Danio rerio: one gene and its partner. The protein of the gene in region 1 binds, or shares a complex with, the protein of each later gene. Links are inferred from orthologs where the notes say so. Each region holds a gene or a part of one and is shown in the gene's direction. Other genes may lie near its edges.

Region 1 (7,902 bases):
TAAAATAATGCACATGACAATTGCGTGTGATTAATCGTTCAGCCAGAGTGAGTAATTAAATAACAGAATTTGTCATTGAGTGAGCTATCCCTTTAAGTGCGTTTCCATACCATATCGAGCCCACAGCACGGGCTGAACTCCAGAGCACTCTCGGATCAGGATGGGGAACTGAGGGTTTGCCTTCTTCAGAGTCACATAATGCTGCTCAATGAAGTCCCTATAATAACAACAAACATCACTCATTACAAAACATAAGCCGGGTACCCCCAGGATCCTCCAAATGAAGTTCAAGACTTTTTAAGACCTTTTTAAGACCATTTCAAATGAAGTTCAAAGCCAACTTCGTACCCCTTCTGACAGAAGTATGAGGGACAAATGTCAAATCTGTATAAATTTTGTACCCTAGACAATAATTATGTACATAGAGGTAAAAATGGTTTTATATTTGCACATTCGTTCATTTAGAAGTCTCTATATTGTTTACCATGTTACTTTTAATATTCGATCTGAATTAGCATGCAAGTGTGACTTGAAAACAACATTAGCACTGTTTATTTGACTGTGAACAATGCTGTACTCTAATAGTCATTGGCTACTTATATGATTTCGCTATTTAGAGTTTGCAAATAATACTTTTATGAAATTATATTATTAAGGGGAAAGTCCGAATGTGCGACTATAAAACCAAATTTACCTCTATATTATGTACAAGTGACTACTTGAATTGAATAAATCATTGTATTTAAATGGTCAGTTATATTTAATACTTACGCAACAGCGAAACACACATCTGATTTTTAATAAACAAATAAATTTGAACTTGGTGTTGAACACTATAACCTTCACTGCTATGCTGTTTAAACTCACTGAAAGCAGAGCAATGTATAAAGCTCACTAGCATTCAGACAACAATAATAACACACACGAACATTTCTGCAGGTGACACACAGACTCTTAGAGGACAGTTCCTCTCCTATATTCTCACACACAATAAGAGCGGTCAGTACTGCACCTGGTGCCCTGGCTGGCAGCTGAGATCTGGCATAAATGCAGGCGGATTTCACGCAGATTCTTTGACAAGTTTGAGCCGATTCCTCGAACCACCGCTGCGGCCGCCATGACTGTCACCTTCACCGGAGGAAGTGCTCTTCTTCTGCTGCTGTTTGCAGCAAATGCCGCTGCATTTGATATACCGCCACCTACTGGAAAGTGTGGTAAAGTATAGAAGGGATACAGCTCACGCGGTTTTTGTGACGCTGTACAACAATTACTATTTTTAATATTCATACTGTAAAGGTTGGGTTCTGGGTTGGGGTAGGCGTTAGTAAAATGGATTATTGAGTAATTTAATAAATAATATAAATAATACTTGGTATAATTTTTATATACTGTGTGGGTTAGGGTATATGGAGGACGAAACCTGCAAAACAAAAAAATAAACAATTACGCAAATAAATAAATAAATAAATAAATAAATAAATAAATAAACACAAATTCCTGCATCAGTAAAACAATTAGATAAATAAAAGAATAAATAAATAAAGAAATAAATACCTGCATAAATAAAACAACAATTAAATAAATAAATGAATAAATAAATACACAAGTTACTGCATAAATAAAACAATACATAAATAAATACACAAATTAATAAACAAATCTATATATAAATACACAAGTTCCTGCATAAATAAAACAATAAATAGATAAATAAATACACAAATAAATAAATGAATAAATACACAAGTTCCTGCAAAAATAAAACAATAAATAAATAGATAAATAAATACGTAAATAAATAAATAAATACACAAGTTCCTGCATAAATGAAACAATAAATAAATATATACGCTGTAAATAAATAAATGTATATATATATATGAACAAAACCTGCAAATATATATATATAAAGTCTACTTTAAGTTTTCTTATTCCTCCAGCATTAATTATTAATCTGTCCACACTATATTTATATATTTATTTATGCAGGGATTTGTGTGTGTGTGTGTGTGTGTGTGTATATATATATATATATATATATATATATATATATATATATATATATATATATATATATATATATATATAATTCTTTTATTTATTTATTGTTTTATTCATGTAGAATTTTGTGGATTTATTATTTAATTTATTTGCATATTTATTAATTTATTTATTTATTTATTGTATTTTGAAGGTTTTGTCCTCCATAGAGATGGGGGTAGACGTTAATAAAATGCATTAATGGATAATTTAATAAATAATATGAATAATACCCTGTATAATCACTGTTTTTACATTATTGTGAGGGTTGGAGTAGGGATAGAGGTTAATACAATACAATCAATGGGTAATTTAATAAATAATATGAATAATATTCGGTATAATTAGGGTTTTTACATCACTGTGAGGGTTGGGTCCAGGATTGAAGTCGAGGTAAAAGTTAATAAAATACAATTTAGTTGAACATTTTATAAATAATGTAAATAATTCTCTTTAACCTCTGGCCGCAGCTGTATCCCTTCTAGCAACAACCGTATTCATCCAGCTCAACAAGAGGCGCTGCTGCTGCGAAAGCAGACAAAAAAGCGGAAGTGACATCAAGAGACGCACTATCAACATTGGAGTGCGTTGTGTTTTGGAGCTAGTAGTTTTATTTCATCATGCCTGAACGCGAAAGTAAGTATGATATGCAATTTATTTCTTATTTATGCGATGAGGGAGCGACAAAACAGACAGTGAATTAACGTTAGTATAATAAGCGAACATTTGCGCTGTTATGTTTTGCTAACACTCGCCTGTGTCTCCTGTGTAGATCGTTAAGGAAATGCGATGTTCATACAAAGATGATATTAGTGCACATGTAGTGAAATATGCATTATAACAATCCAAAGCAGACACTTCTCTAGTGTTTTACATTGCTGCAGAGTCCAGAAATGAAGTGACTGCTTCATAATTGACTCCAGATTTATGATTGGGGTAAAGTTGGCTTTATATTTGCACTTTCTCCTTAATAATATAATTTCAGAAGAGTAAAAGTAGTAAATTCATATTATCAGCCATTGACTATCATAGTACAACACTGTTCACTGTCAATTAATTAGTGCCAATGTTGTTTTTAAGTCATTCTTGCATGTGATTTCAGAATGAATATTGGAAAGTACCATGGTATACAATCTAGGGAGTAGGGCTGCACATTATATCGTTTCAACATTGATATCTCAATGTGCGCATCCGCAATAGTCACATCGCATAGATATGCAATGTCCAGTCTAGGCATGGGACGATAACTGCTTTCAAAGTATACCTTAGTTTGAGAAAGTCAATGTTTTAAAACCGTCAACATTTTCTGCTATACCGTTCCTAAGGTATGAGTAAGATTTTTTTATTTACATTTTTTATTTTTAGGGTCAGCAGTATCTCCAACAGAAAAGGTTTCCAAAGATGCTGTTTAAATCGTAAAGAACTCTGTGTTTTTAAAACTAATTAAGACTGCAGGAGTCAATTATTAAAGTTCGTCGAGACAAACTTTAGGCTGGGGTTGAGAAAATCTGTTGGAAATAGTTTATTTAGTTTAAACAGTTTTAAAAAGTATGAAAAGATGATAGATAGAAAGACAGTAATAGATAGATAGATAGATAGATAGATAGATAGATAGATAGATAGATAGATAGATAGATAGATAAAAGCAGTTTGAAAAAGGACAGATAATTTTGAGGTCACAAAGTTAGATCTAATGTAAATCAATGACAGTCTTTTGCAATGGAAGTCTATGGGACAGTTGTTGCTAGGGTGCAGTATGTGGTAGTTAGGGGTGTGGCTAGAAAGTTAAAAGCTCATCAGTTATTGGTAGTTTGGTAGTCTGAGTTAAATGAGCTCAGCCATTAGTCTGTAAGACAATCTGATGCAGAGTTATGAGCTCACAAAGTTTGATCCCATGTTAAGTCAATGAGAGTCTTTTGAATGGAAGTCTATGGGACAGTTTCTAGGATCCAAAAGTGGTTGCTAGGGCGTGGCCAGAAAGTTAAAAGCTCATCAGTTATTGGCAGTTAGGTAGTCTGAGTTAAATGAGCCCAGTTAGAAGTCTGTGTGACAGTCTGACGCAGAGTTATGAGGTCACAAAGTTTGGTCCAATGTTAAGTCTATGGGATTTTTCCGACGGTCCCGGGACGTTTTTCAGAAAACCGAAAGTCGGATCAGTCGGAAAAGATATAGCATATTACCGAGTCAGAATAGTTTGGAGGTCTGGTGTGAGTTTGGTGGTCATAGCTCGAAAGCTCTAGGAGGAGATAGATTTTGAATTTTAGTCTCAGAAGAAGAAGAAGAATAAAAATATTAAGTTTAAATAGGTTTTCAGTAGTCTGGCTTGTTTCCCAAGCCAGCCTAATAATTATTTAGCCTGACATGTTTACTGTTCTGAAATACTTAAAATGTTTCCCAAATTAAAATATATTGTGTACAAAGGGGGGAAAAGGTTTTGTTCTTTACCCAGTCATTTAAAAAGATTATATTTTAGAGCAGTAATCTCAGTAATCTCAAACAGTGATATTTATATGCAAGGTTATCATACCGTCAGAATCTTATGCTGGCCCATGCCTAGTCCAGTCTGTATTATAGATGACCAGGATTTAATCAAATGCACTTTATATGATTCATGCAAAAAACATTTCATTCATTAATCTCTTAATATACCTTTTTTCCTTCTGACGGTCAAAACAAAACAATATTTTTACTTGGTCTAAGAATTTAGTTGATATTTGGACTAGAAATGAGACGAAAAAAGTAAAAATATATATATTTTTTGCATTGTGATTATTGAATTTCTGTACCGGAATACACTGAGGTAAAGTTGGTTTTATATTCACACAATCAGACTTTCTCCTTAATAATAGAATTTCTAAAAAGTATTCTTTGCAAATTTTGAATAGTGAATACTAGGGATGTAACGGTATCAGAATTTCACGGTATGGTAATACCTCGGTATGAATGTCACGGTACGGTATTTATTGAATCATTTACAGGAAAAAACAAAACTAATGAAAATACTCCAAAAAAGTGCCAAAAGTGTCAATGGCATACAAATTAGTCATCTATCTGTAAGCTTTGAAACAGGAACTTCAATTTTAATAACAAAAAATTATTAAACCATGTAAAAAATAAAGTTTCAATTTAGTATTGTTGAAAACTCATCACATTCAACATTTAATCACTCACTCACTTAGATAGAGATGGGTTTTAAGGAAAATTATCATATAAATATAATCTGGTAAAAGCTGGTATCTCTGGGTATTTACAATGTCCCCTGCAACAGAAAAAAACCCTCTCATTTGGGACTGAGGTTTCTGGGACAGAGAGATATGACTTGGCCCAGGTTGACAGCAGTGGGTAACGTTGTGCATTGTCTTTCCCCCACTTGAGTGGACAAACCATGAGTGAGATAGAGGTCTCATGTCTGCGTCAATCTGAACAGTGCGCTGTGTTTCTGCAGTCCACATGACTGTTATTAGTCGTATTCCCCAACTTGCAGGCACGTGCACACACAGTGCTCAACCTGTGCAGTGCACTTGCCCTTTTTAGTCTTGGATAGAAAGTTCCCTTCCAAAATGATCAAAAGTGCCCCCGCGAAGCGACACAACCTCCGTCCCGCTTTACAGTACGCGCGCGACAACACAGCTGATCAGAACTTGCGCGACAACACAGCTGATCAGAACGCGCGCGACAACACCGCTATTCAGTACCCGCGCGACAACACAGCTGATAAGAACTCGCGCGACAACACCGCTATTCAGTACGCGTGCGGCGACAACACCCGCTTTAGATTCGATCATTTCCAGCTCTTTTTCATCCCTGCTACTAGCAGCACACTCCATTTCCGCATTACTGGATCTGTAGCGACAACAGACCGCAAAGGATGATGGCCACGCCTGGGCTGATGGGAATTGTAGTTCCCGCTACCTCCCGTTCGCTTCATTCGCCTGAGCAAATTTTCTCAGAAGACCTATAGTTTTACCGAGTCATGCGACTACGGTAATATCGAAAAAAATTAATATTGCGGTATGACGGTATTTACAATATCGTTACATCCCTAGTGAATACGTATTTGCAGCCAATGACTTTTAAAATTACAGCATTGTTGACAGTCAAATAAATAGTGCCAGTGTTGTTTTCAAGTCATACTTGCATGCGATTTCAGACCGAATGTTCAAAGTACCATAGTAAACAATATAGGGAGCATGTCACAAGTTGTCATTGAATGAACGTGTGAATATAAAACCAACTTTACCTCAATCCCGAATACTGTTAGACTACCCAGAAAACCGTCAAATAGATCTTGTGAAACTGTATTTATATTGCAATATTTATCGTAATAAATATTAATCGTAATATTAGATTTTTCCAATATTAGCCCTTATAGTGAGCATGTAACAAGTACTAAACGAATGTGTGAATATGAAACCAACTTAACCTCAGTTAGTTCTTCTTTCTGTTGTGTACAGTAATGTCCTAATAACGTGTCTGTCTGTTTTTTCCGTCTTTCAGCTGATGTGTACTCTAATCCTCTGGCTCCAGATGGCCATGAGGTGGAGGACCACCGGTCAGCGCTGCAGTAAGTGCTCTTCACCATCACTCGCTGATAGGGCTGAATTATACTTCTGCATCGAGTGAATACTGTAATCCACAGTACCTGTACCGGCATTTATACTTCTGTATTTTGTTCGTGTTGCTCTGCAATAACACTTCCGAAACCCTAGCTGGCAGCAGGGCTCCATTTGGAGCAATCACAAAGCTTGTGCTATGTGTCGTCACAACGTGGAGTTAAATTATTTTGATTGGTGCACATCTTTGTCAGCCATAGAGAAGGGAAACCGAACCTCTGACATGCTTGTGCAAAACATAAACAAAGCAGCATTTACTACCATTATCAAAGTCATCACGGAGGCATTCGCTCCTGCAAATGTATGATAATCTAGTAATCCATATCGCTTGCGGATATTACAAATGACAGCCAGCCTCTTTATGTTCCTTCTTGGCTTTATTTTTTTACTTGCTAGATATAATATTGCAAAATCCACATAAATCATTTGACATTTTTCCGATCGCCCCCTAGTTTCACATTTTTTTTTCATTTTCATGGTTTTTACCGGATGTCAGATCATTTTTAATTAGACATTTGCAAAATGAAAAGGAATTATAGTTAATAATAAGCCCCTTTCACTCAGTGGTATGGTAAATATATGGAAAATTTCCGTAACGACTTTACCGGTATATTCAAAAAAGCGCTGTTCACACAGGCGAGGACGTTACGGAAATTTTCAGGAAAAGAGCATTCACACATCCATTCCACAATACGGGTAAATTCTGACATCATTAACCAGAAATGAGCTCTAAACGGCTGCGCTTGTGTTTGTAAACATTTGACTACATCACAAACTCTGTGGATGATCATTATTGTGAACAACTTCGATGAAAACAAATAGAGAAACACTTTCGCATGTCGAGATGTTCACAATATGTGCGTGTGCTGGCTGTTTCACGGGCACACGCAAAGCTTGAAGGTAAACAAACAGCAGCTTATCATAAGCATCTTATTGATAATTATTTACACGGTTGGCATTAAGATGAATATATAAACATTATCTGACTACTTTCTAGCAGCTAAATGCGTCTGGGAAAATATTCTAAGGATTTTATTCTTACAAACTGCGCGGACGTGAATGCGTCTGACTGTTCTGATTGGCTAAAGCCGACGTCTCACGTCAGCACGTTCTAGACGTGCACGCGCTCTTTCCGGCAATCTTCCTTCTGCGTTCACACAGAGCAGCATTCCGGCAAATTACCGGTAATCTTACAACTTCTCTTTCCGGAAAATAGCCAGAACGAATTTAACTTACCGGTATTTTCAAA
Region 2 (7,969 bases), about 15 Mb from region 1:
TAAAACATGTAAACCCTGACCCAATGATAGCAATTTTGGGTTGGTCAGATTTTCTGGAGACTCTCAAATGAAAATGTACATTTACCCGTTCAGTATGGCATGCTCATAGCTAAGAAAGTTATCCTTTGTTTCTGGAAGAGAAATGCAAGGCCTCTTTTTCTGACTGGCTTCTTGAACTCATCTTGACTTTATATTAGGAAAGAATTTAACATACCACCTCTGGTAACTCTACAAAATTTGATAAAATGTGGGATCCAGTCTTTTTTTTACCCCAACACAACATAGACTAATAATGTATAATTTCTGAAGATTTGTATCCCCCCCCCCCCCCCTCCCTCCTTTTACATCCACTGCCATCTCTTTTTATAGGTCATGTCTTGTCACAAATTTTCCTTCAGTTCATGCTTTAAATTTTGCACAGATCATCACGTTGGGTTTGTCTGTCTGTTCCTTTTCTATGTCTGCAAATACTATAATAATAATAATAATAATAATAAACAATAAAAAAAAAAAAAAAAAAAAAGTTTACCAAACTGATGATTTGCAAGAATTCAGTCATTGGAAAATTCAAATTAGGAGTTAATTTAAATTAAATATACATGTTAATATGGTAACATGAGCGGCACTCAGGTAAGAGTGGTTAAGCCCAGAGGGGTGGGGGAAATGTTTATAATTCCTGGATTACATTAACAAACAATCAAAAACATGAAAAAGAGATAACATAAGAATTTTCCCAATTCTTTCTCTTTTTTCTTAGAATTAATAATTGGTGAAGGCCACCAATTGCAAAAATTGCAATAAATGACATGCAATCTTACTATTTGAATTCCATGATTATGGAGTATATTACAAATGTGATCCAATTACAAGTAGATCATATTCGTGATCAGATTATGTAGTTAAATTTACTACCAGGTTGAGAATGAGACAGCGTTTACCATTTCATGTGTGAAAAGCTCTATTCAGCCTATAAAACTTACAGTTGATCAACAGGGTCTTGTCCTTCAGTATCATTTTGCGATGCAGATGGCAGGTCCCAAGCATGAAGTGCTCTCCTCCAAAGCCGGACTTGCATGTCCCAAGATCTGCGGCTATATTTGCGGTATTTGTTTGGAGTGGAAGGATGAATTCCAGGGACACGCAGACGCCTGAACAGAGGAGACAGAAGCCAGAAAGATTAGTTACGCTCTTAATACAATCAGAAGGGCATCCAAGAAGAAAAGTGAACACTAGCAGCTAATAGTTGGATATTTACGTTCACCACAACTCACTTTGGAACCTGCTGAACGTAGTTCTGGTAGCCACAGGTATTCTTCCCATACTGAATCTGCTTTTGCCTACGCTTCAAAACAGCCTCATTGATCTCAAAATGAGAAGGGTCAGCATTATGGGGATACCACTTTCCCCTTGATGGTGACCTACAACATTAGAGTAAAACAATACTTGCATTATATTAAATAATTAAAAAAAAAATTAATAAAACACTTGCATGCTTTAAGTTGAGGAACATGCCTAGAAAAAAAAAAAAAAAAAAAAAAACTTAGAGCTTCATCTTTAAAACCACACATGGAACATTTTTATATAGAGCTTTTTTTTTTTTTTTTTTTTTTTTTAACTTTTTTTTCCCTGAATTTTTATCCTTTTAAAATAATGCATGTTCCCTCACAAAAAAAATACCATAAGTGTTTCAGGTTTAAATAATGCAATACATGGTTGTACACATTTTCATGTGAAGTAGAGAGAGGGGAAGAGAAAAAAAAACACTCGGTTTCCAAAACCCCATAACAAATTTGATTTTAACATGCGAGTGTCATGTGGCATTTCTGTAAAGCTGTGTTGTCACTTGACGAATTACTTTAAAAAATAAATAAATAAAAAATAAACATAAAATTATATATATATATATATATATATATATATATATATATATATATATATATATATATATATATATATATATATATAATAAAATACACAAACATCCATTTTTCTTTCATTTAAAAATAATAAAAACCACACACACACACTCAAAACTAAAAAAAAAAAAAAAAAAAAAAAAAAAAAAAGGATTAGTTAGACCTCTTGACCCCATCAAGATCTTCCGTCCCAACAGCTACACTAGCTGTAGACATCCTAAGTATGCATCGCTCAAGGATGGAGGACCTGAAGAGTGAATAATAAAATAATTAAAGGCACTAACAGATCATTTGGAATTAAGAAAAAACTATTCACAAGACAACCAGTAACAAATTATAAAAAAGAAAAAAAAGCATACCTGCGAGGCTTCTGAACAGCAGAAGGCTTTTCTCCATTTTGTGAAGCAGACAGTGGGGTTTTAGAGCAGCTGAGGGAAAAACAATGTGCAGGGTTTCTCAACACAACATTTTCAAGTTCCACCCCCCCCCAAAATAATAATTATAATAAAAATAAATAAATAAAAAGGTTCCTTAAATCAACAGAAACACATTTACCTGACAAGACTATCATACACTGAACTGCAGCCAGGAAGCAGCCAAGGCTCTGGGCTACATGGGAGAGAGAGGGTTTTACTACTGAAGTCTTGAGCAACGTCTGTTGGCCACAAGTGAAGAGGCAGACCTCTAAATCACAAAAAAATAACAAAATACAAAGTGTTTTACGATACTACATGAGGACAACAACACATGAGGACACTTTAAAGGCACAAAACAAGCTTTGAAACATACAACCGCGACTCAAAGGGGCTTTGAAGAAGGCTTTCTATGCGTGTTGTCATGATTTTGGCTAACGTACAGCCACACAACACATTGCGCTTGACAAAGCTTTTTATCAGCGACAGGTGTAACGGGGGCGGGGCTCTACAAATGAGACAGGTAAGGCCGCTAATTATTAAAAAAAATAATAATAATAATGATTTATCAAATCGATATTATTTTAATTAACGTTTTATTTAATAACGGTTTTTATTTCACTGATTTAAACATGTAGATGTAAAATTCTTGTAGTGAAATAGTATGTCTCTATTTAGACACATTGAAGAAAATTGTCCAAGTAACGAGAGGAATAATACAGTAGGCTTGTCACAAATGTAGTCATTAAACAGGTTTTTGACTAAATGTAAGCATAACTTATTTGAAGCCCAAACATATAAATAAAGTAAAAAAAAACAATTACCAAGCATGATGACACTTTTACAGTCGGCAAAATAGTAACAGCAGTTCGGCAGGGGCGCTTGTTTACGGCAGCCGCACACGCTTTACGGCATCCTCATAGCAAAATGGCGTCAGGCAGTGGGGTAAGAATTCTGTTAAGACTTGTTTATATGTTATTTTAGTCTATCCGCTTACTTTAAACGTAATTTAGGAAAGTATTTATTTTGTAGCGTCATGTGTTAGCAAATGTTGGTATCGTAAAAGGTGAATGAAGAAAAAACTGGCCGATGTTGTGACGCCAGATGGTTTTGTTTTGTTGTGAACAAGAAGAAAAACAGATATATTTCAGTTGTAAAGCGTTTCGTTACCTATATTGCCTTGTATTATCTTTTTAAAATCATAGTTAATCTATTAGTATAATCATATTATGGCTTATTTATGTTCGATCTTTTGTACAGACGTTTTTTGTGCAGTTCCAGTAGATTTGCTTAACGTTATTCAACTGTCATGGTTATGCTATTAAAATGTTTAAAATTAAGATTTATGTGGGCCTTTAAAGTTTAAATTAGACAATAATCCCTTAAAAAAGGTTTTAAATCAGCAGATATTTATACTTTCTAAGGCATTAAATGTTGCATACTCCGCAAAAGTTTATATTTTCCTCAATATTTTTATGTTTTCCTTTATAAAAATCATAAACGTCCTTAAATGAGGTTTCATTTACTCGATAAATAATTTAAAAAGTTTAATATATTGTTTGTTATTAAAGAAGAAAAATGACTTTGCTGTTTGAGTGTTTATTTCTGAGCTCATTTTAGTCTCATATCTATTAAAAATCTATTATGATTTCATAATCTTTAGACATGAGTAATGGAAAGGATAGAACACCAAGGAAGAATGTGCTTTTTACAGTGTGACAAAAAGTACCGTGAATAATACAGATTGGTATATTCAAACCTAAAAGTTTAGCCAAGTATATACAACTCATTGTTTCTGCAACTCAGTGTTTGTATGTTGTGTTCCCTTAAAATGATTCATTACATTTTCATTGCGAGGTCTTTAAAAGGTCCTTAAAATGTCTTAAATTGTACCTTCATCATTTACAATCATATTCTCGTTTCTAGTCCAAGAATGATTTTCGACGGAAATGGGACAAGGATGAATATGAACAGCTGGCCCAGAAACGAATCACAGAGGAGAGAGAGAAAAAAGATGGTAAGCTAAAACAACCCTAAAAACCCTTCAGTATATACAGTTATCAGAGACAAAAAAACTAAAGGATCACTTGTAAATTCTCAATTTCTCTGAATTCATTGGATATAAAATGTAAAATATTTGTTTTATTCTGTAAGTCTAATAATATTTCTTCCAAAAATTAAATTAGATAAATATTGTACATCAGAGCTTTTCCTTTTTTTCCAGAAAATGTCTATTTTATTTAACATTTGTAAAAAAAATATCATCAGTAGTTCACAGAATAAAACCAAAATTATGTCTCACTCAAACACATAATAACAAATGATAAATTCTGATAAACGTTCAGTGGAATTTTTTTGTATATGTAAGTTGTATCTTTATTCAGTAAATTAAATGAAGTATGGTCAAATAAACCCATATGCTGACAACAAACTGAAATAATTCTCTCATGCCTAAATATTTTACAAACGTAAATAATTCTGGCCAATATTTCCTATGTCATTCTTCTTTTTTGTTCTCCAGGCAAGCCTGTGCCCCCCATCAAGCGGGAGCTCCTCCGCCACAGAGATTATAAAGTGGATCTGGAGTCAAAACTGGGGAAAACAATCGTCATCACGAAGACCACACCACAGGCTGAGATGGGAGGGTGGGTGTAACCTGAAACTTGTATTTATGTTTTAGTATAAATATTAATAATAAAATATTAATATACTATTTTTTTTTCATTCTAAGGTATTACTGCAATGTGTGTGATTGTGTAGTAAAGGATTCCATCAATTTCTTGGATCATATCAATGGTAAAAAACGTAAGTATTATAAGGTCTTTGTTCTTTCTTATAATTTGCACAACATCTTGTAGATAAAATGTGGTTTGCATGTAGACACACTCCCTATAGAAAGCCTTCTGTGCAATATCGTAAATTGTATTCTATTTTAAAGGATATTTTTGTTGCGGAAGTCTCTTACAATAGGTTCAGATCCATCCAAAGTCAAAAAGCACTTTCATTTTCTCAAACTTTACATTATTAACTCATTTCTCAGAGTTGATTTCAAATGTTGATTCTGTATCATTGCTTCACGGTAGTTTTGTTTTTGCGGTGGAGAAAACAGTACTCAGGTTGGCTTTATGAAACTTTGTAACAAATCTACATAGGCTTGTGCAGGAAATAGGACTGGAAATACTGATGACTCATTTCATACCTTTTAATATAGATTCTTTCTATTGGGAGAAAATAACCACACTTTAAATATCCACTTTGATATTCAAAACCTGACAGACATATATGTCACAAAAAGATATACTTATATTTTGTCAAGTCCGAAATTATTCAAACCCCTGGCATATTCTGACTTAAAGATAATTTTATTCAACCAGCAAGTGGTTGCTTTTAACCGAAAGTGACACAGGCTTCTCCCATGATGTACAAGAGGCATCAGTGTGGGGAAAAAATCTGCTTTTATTTTCAGACTTGCCTATATATTATAAGAAAACAGATAAAAGTTAAAAGATAGGCACCTACCATCATCCAGATGTTCCTGAAAACTTTGTTGGAGAGCACATCAGTCAATGAAAGTAGTTATGCTATATAAATAAATGTCATACACAAAATAAACGGTAATATCTGATAAGATAAATTATGAACACTTTAATTTAATCAAATGAATCTATATGTACTTGTTTGTAGCAGCTCTGTTTATTATTATTCTTTATGTTGCTCATGTAAATCAATATCTAGTTGTTGTATTTCTGTTAAAAAATATAAATTTATTGACTGCTCCACTGGTCAGTGGCATTTTTAATACATGTCAGTGCATAACACCATACATTTATTTTGCTGGCTCACAGATCAGAGGAATCTGGGAATGTCGATGCGAGTAGAGCGCTCTTCGCTGGACCAAGTAAAGAAACGTTTTGAAGTGAACAAGAAAAAGCTGGAGGAAAAGCAGAAAGAGTATGACTTTGAGGAACGAATGAAGGAGTTACGAGAGGAGGTCAGTGTTGTAACTGAGGTTCATTTCATTTGTGACATACTTCATTTAACTTTGCATAAGCCAGCTTAAGCTCTTCCGGTGAACTGTCGTGCAATTATAAACTCTGCACATTTAAGATCTGATTTGTTAAAAATCAATGCTCTTCACTGATGAATTGATATGAAGTGGGTCTCGCACTGGACAAGAAGCACTGCATTAAATGGCATTGTTCTGAGCCATGTCTTTAAAATATGGAAATTTACTTTGTCACAGCATTTTCAATAGTTTCTGCACTCACCTGCTGCTCTTGACAGTGCTTGTTTAAACAGCTTTTCATTCTTTTTTTTTAGACTTTACAAACCAAATTAATGCTGAAGTCCATTTAACCAATTATGTTTTAATTAAATACATGCTAAAACCATGTCAGTTAATGTTCATTAAATAAAACAATGTTGTTTGTTAGTTCAAGCATGAATTTGGATTAGTAAATGTTAAACTATGATTAAAAATGCTGCACGAGTATTGTAATTATTATATTACAGCATATATTTTAACATAATTAGTTCATGTTAGTAAATACATTAACCTATGAAATCTTATTTTAAAGTGTGACCAATTACATTAACAATGCTGTAAAAGGATCCTTTTGAAATTGAAAACGGTCAAATAAACCTTTCAACTGAAGTTTATCGGTGGCTGAAAAACACTTGCCGTGCAAATAGGTGAAGATTAAATGTGAAAATGTGACTTTTTTTTTTTCTTTGTGTGTTAACATGCACAAAATAAGCAGAGAATTGTCAAAAATGTTAGTATGTCAGAAACGCTTTTAGAAGTTTACTTGTAAATCAGTAAATCGGCTATGCAGACAACCATGAAATTTGCATGAAATTTTACATGAAGGTTTTCTTACGAGCAGCTGAGCTGATATCATATGCCAAACATTAGCATGTGAAGCAGTGCTGTTGTATATTATGGCTTCTTTACAGTCACTGTGAATGCAAAACTTTTGATGATTCTGCATCGACTGCATGAGTTGATGACATGATTTTTTGCTCTATTAAGACAATTAAGAGCTGCAGTGTATGATATATTACTGCCGCCCCTGTCTAGAAGTGCCCACTCAAGCTGAATGTGTGTCTGTAGGATGGACTGGTAGGAGCAGTTAGTCCCGATGGAATTCACAGATAACAATAGTTCTGATGTTTATGTGTGATGTTTTCCTCACATGCACATGCGAACATAAATAAACTGATAGAATGCCAATAAAGGCATTTACATCAATGTGAAATCTGAGTATTGAGCAACATGTTCCGATTGGACATTGTTTAAAGCCGTTTGTGACCTTTAACTATGGCCAGACAGAATCTGCGGACATTTTTTGTTATTTCTGTGCAGAATATTATAAAAAAATCTGTGGATTTATGCGGAATGTTTTTGTATCATAGCTAAAAACTTAATAAGGAACGGTATTACAGAAACATTTGGCAATTTTAAAACCTTGACTTTTACGAAGCGTGGTAAACCTTAAAAACGGTTAGCGTCCCATGACTATTCATGAATAAGCATTTTTCAGTCACGGTTGGCAAACATTTCTCAAGAAATGCTTCACTGACCTGCAGAGTTTCCCAAGACTCTGTTTTGGCCCCTTTGTTATTGTCTATATATTGATA

The links.
Region 2: ik (region 1) and zmat2 share a complex: the UniProt entries of both Homo sapiens proteins name them as parts of the spliceosome B complex. The link is inferred for Danio rerio from reciprocal best matches to the Homo sapiens genes IK and ZMAT2.

Annotation. Positions count from the first base shown.
Region 1 is NC_133196.1:47,756,453-47,764,354, forward strand, and holds the start of ik (protein Red), read left to right. Parts: upstream 1-2,593; 5' UTR 2,594-2,660; coding exon 2,661-2,676; intron 2,677-6,537; coding exon 6,538-6,604; intron 6,605-7,902. Other genes in the region: ndufa2 (NADH dehydrogenase [ubiquinone] 1 alpha subcomplex subunit 2), read right to left, coding at 111-217, 1,013-1,119. UniProt on the Homo sapiens protein: Involved in pre-mRNA splicing as a component of the spliceosome. Auxiliary spliceosomal protein that regulates selection of alternative splice sites in a small set of target pre-mRNA species. Required for normal mitotic cell cycle progression.
Region 2 is NC_133196.1:32,945,868-32,953,836, forward strand, and holds the start of zmat2 (zinc finger matrin-type protein 2), read left to right. Parts: upstream 1-3,254; 5' UTR 3,255-3,256; coding exon 3,257-3,274; intron 3,275-4,255; coding exon 4,256-4,346; intron 4,347-4,850; coding exon 4,851-4,974; intron 4,975-5,060; coding exon 5,061-5,134; intron 5,135-6,174; coding exon 6,175-6,320; intron 6,321-7,969. Other genes in the region: slbp2 (stem-loop binding protein 2), read right to left, coding at 981-1,148, 1,272-1,418, 2,080-2,163, 2,276-2,344, 2,472-2,600, 2,706-2,755. UniProt on the Homo sapiens protein: Involved in pre-mRNA splicing as a component of the spliceosome.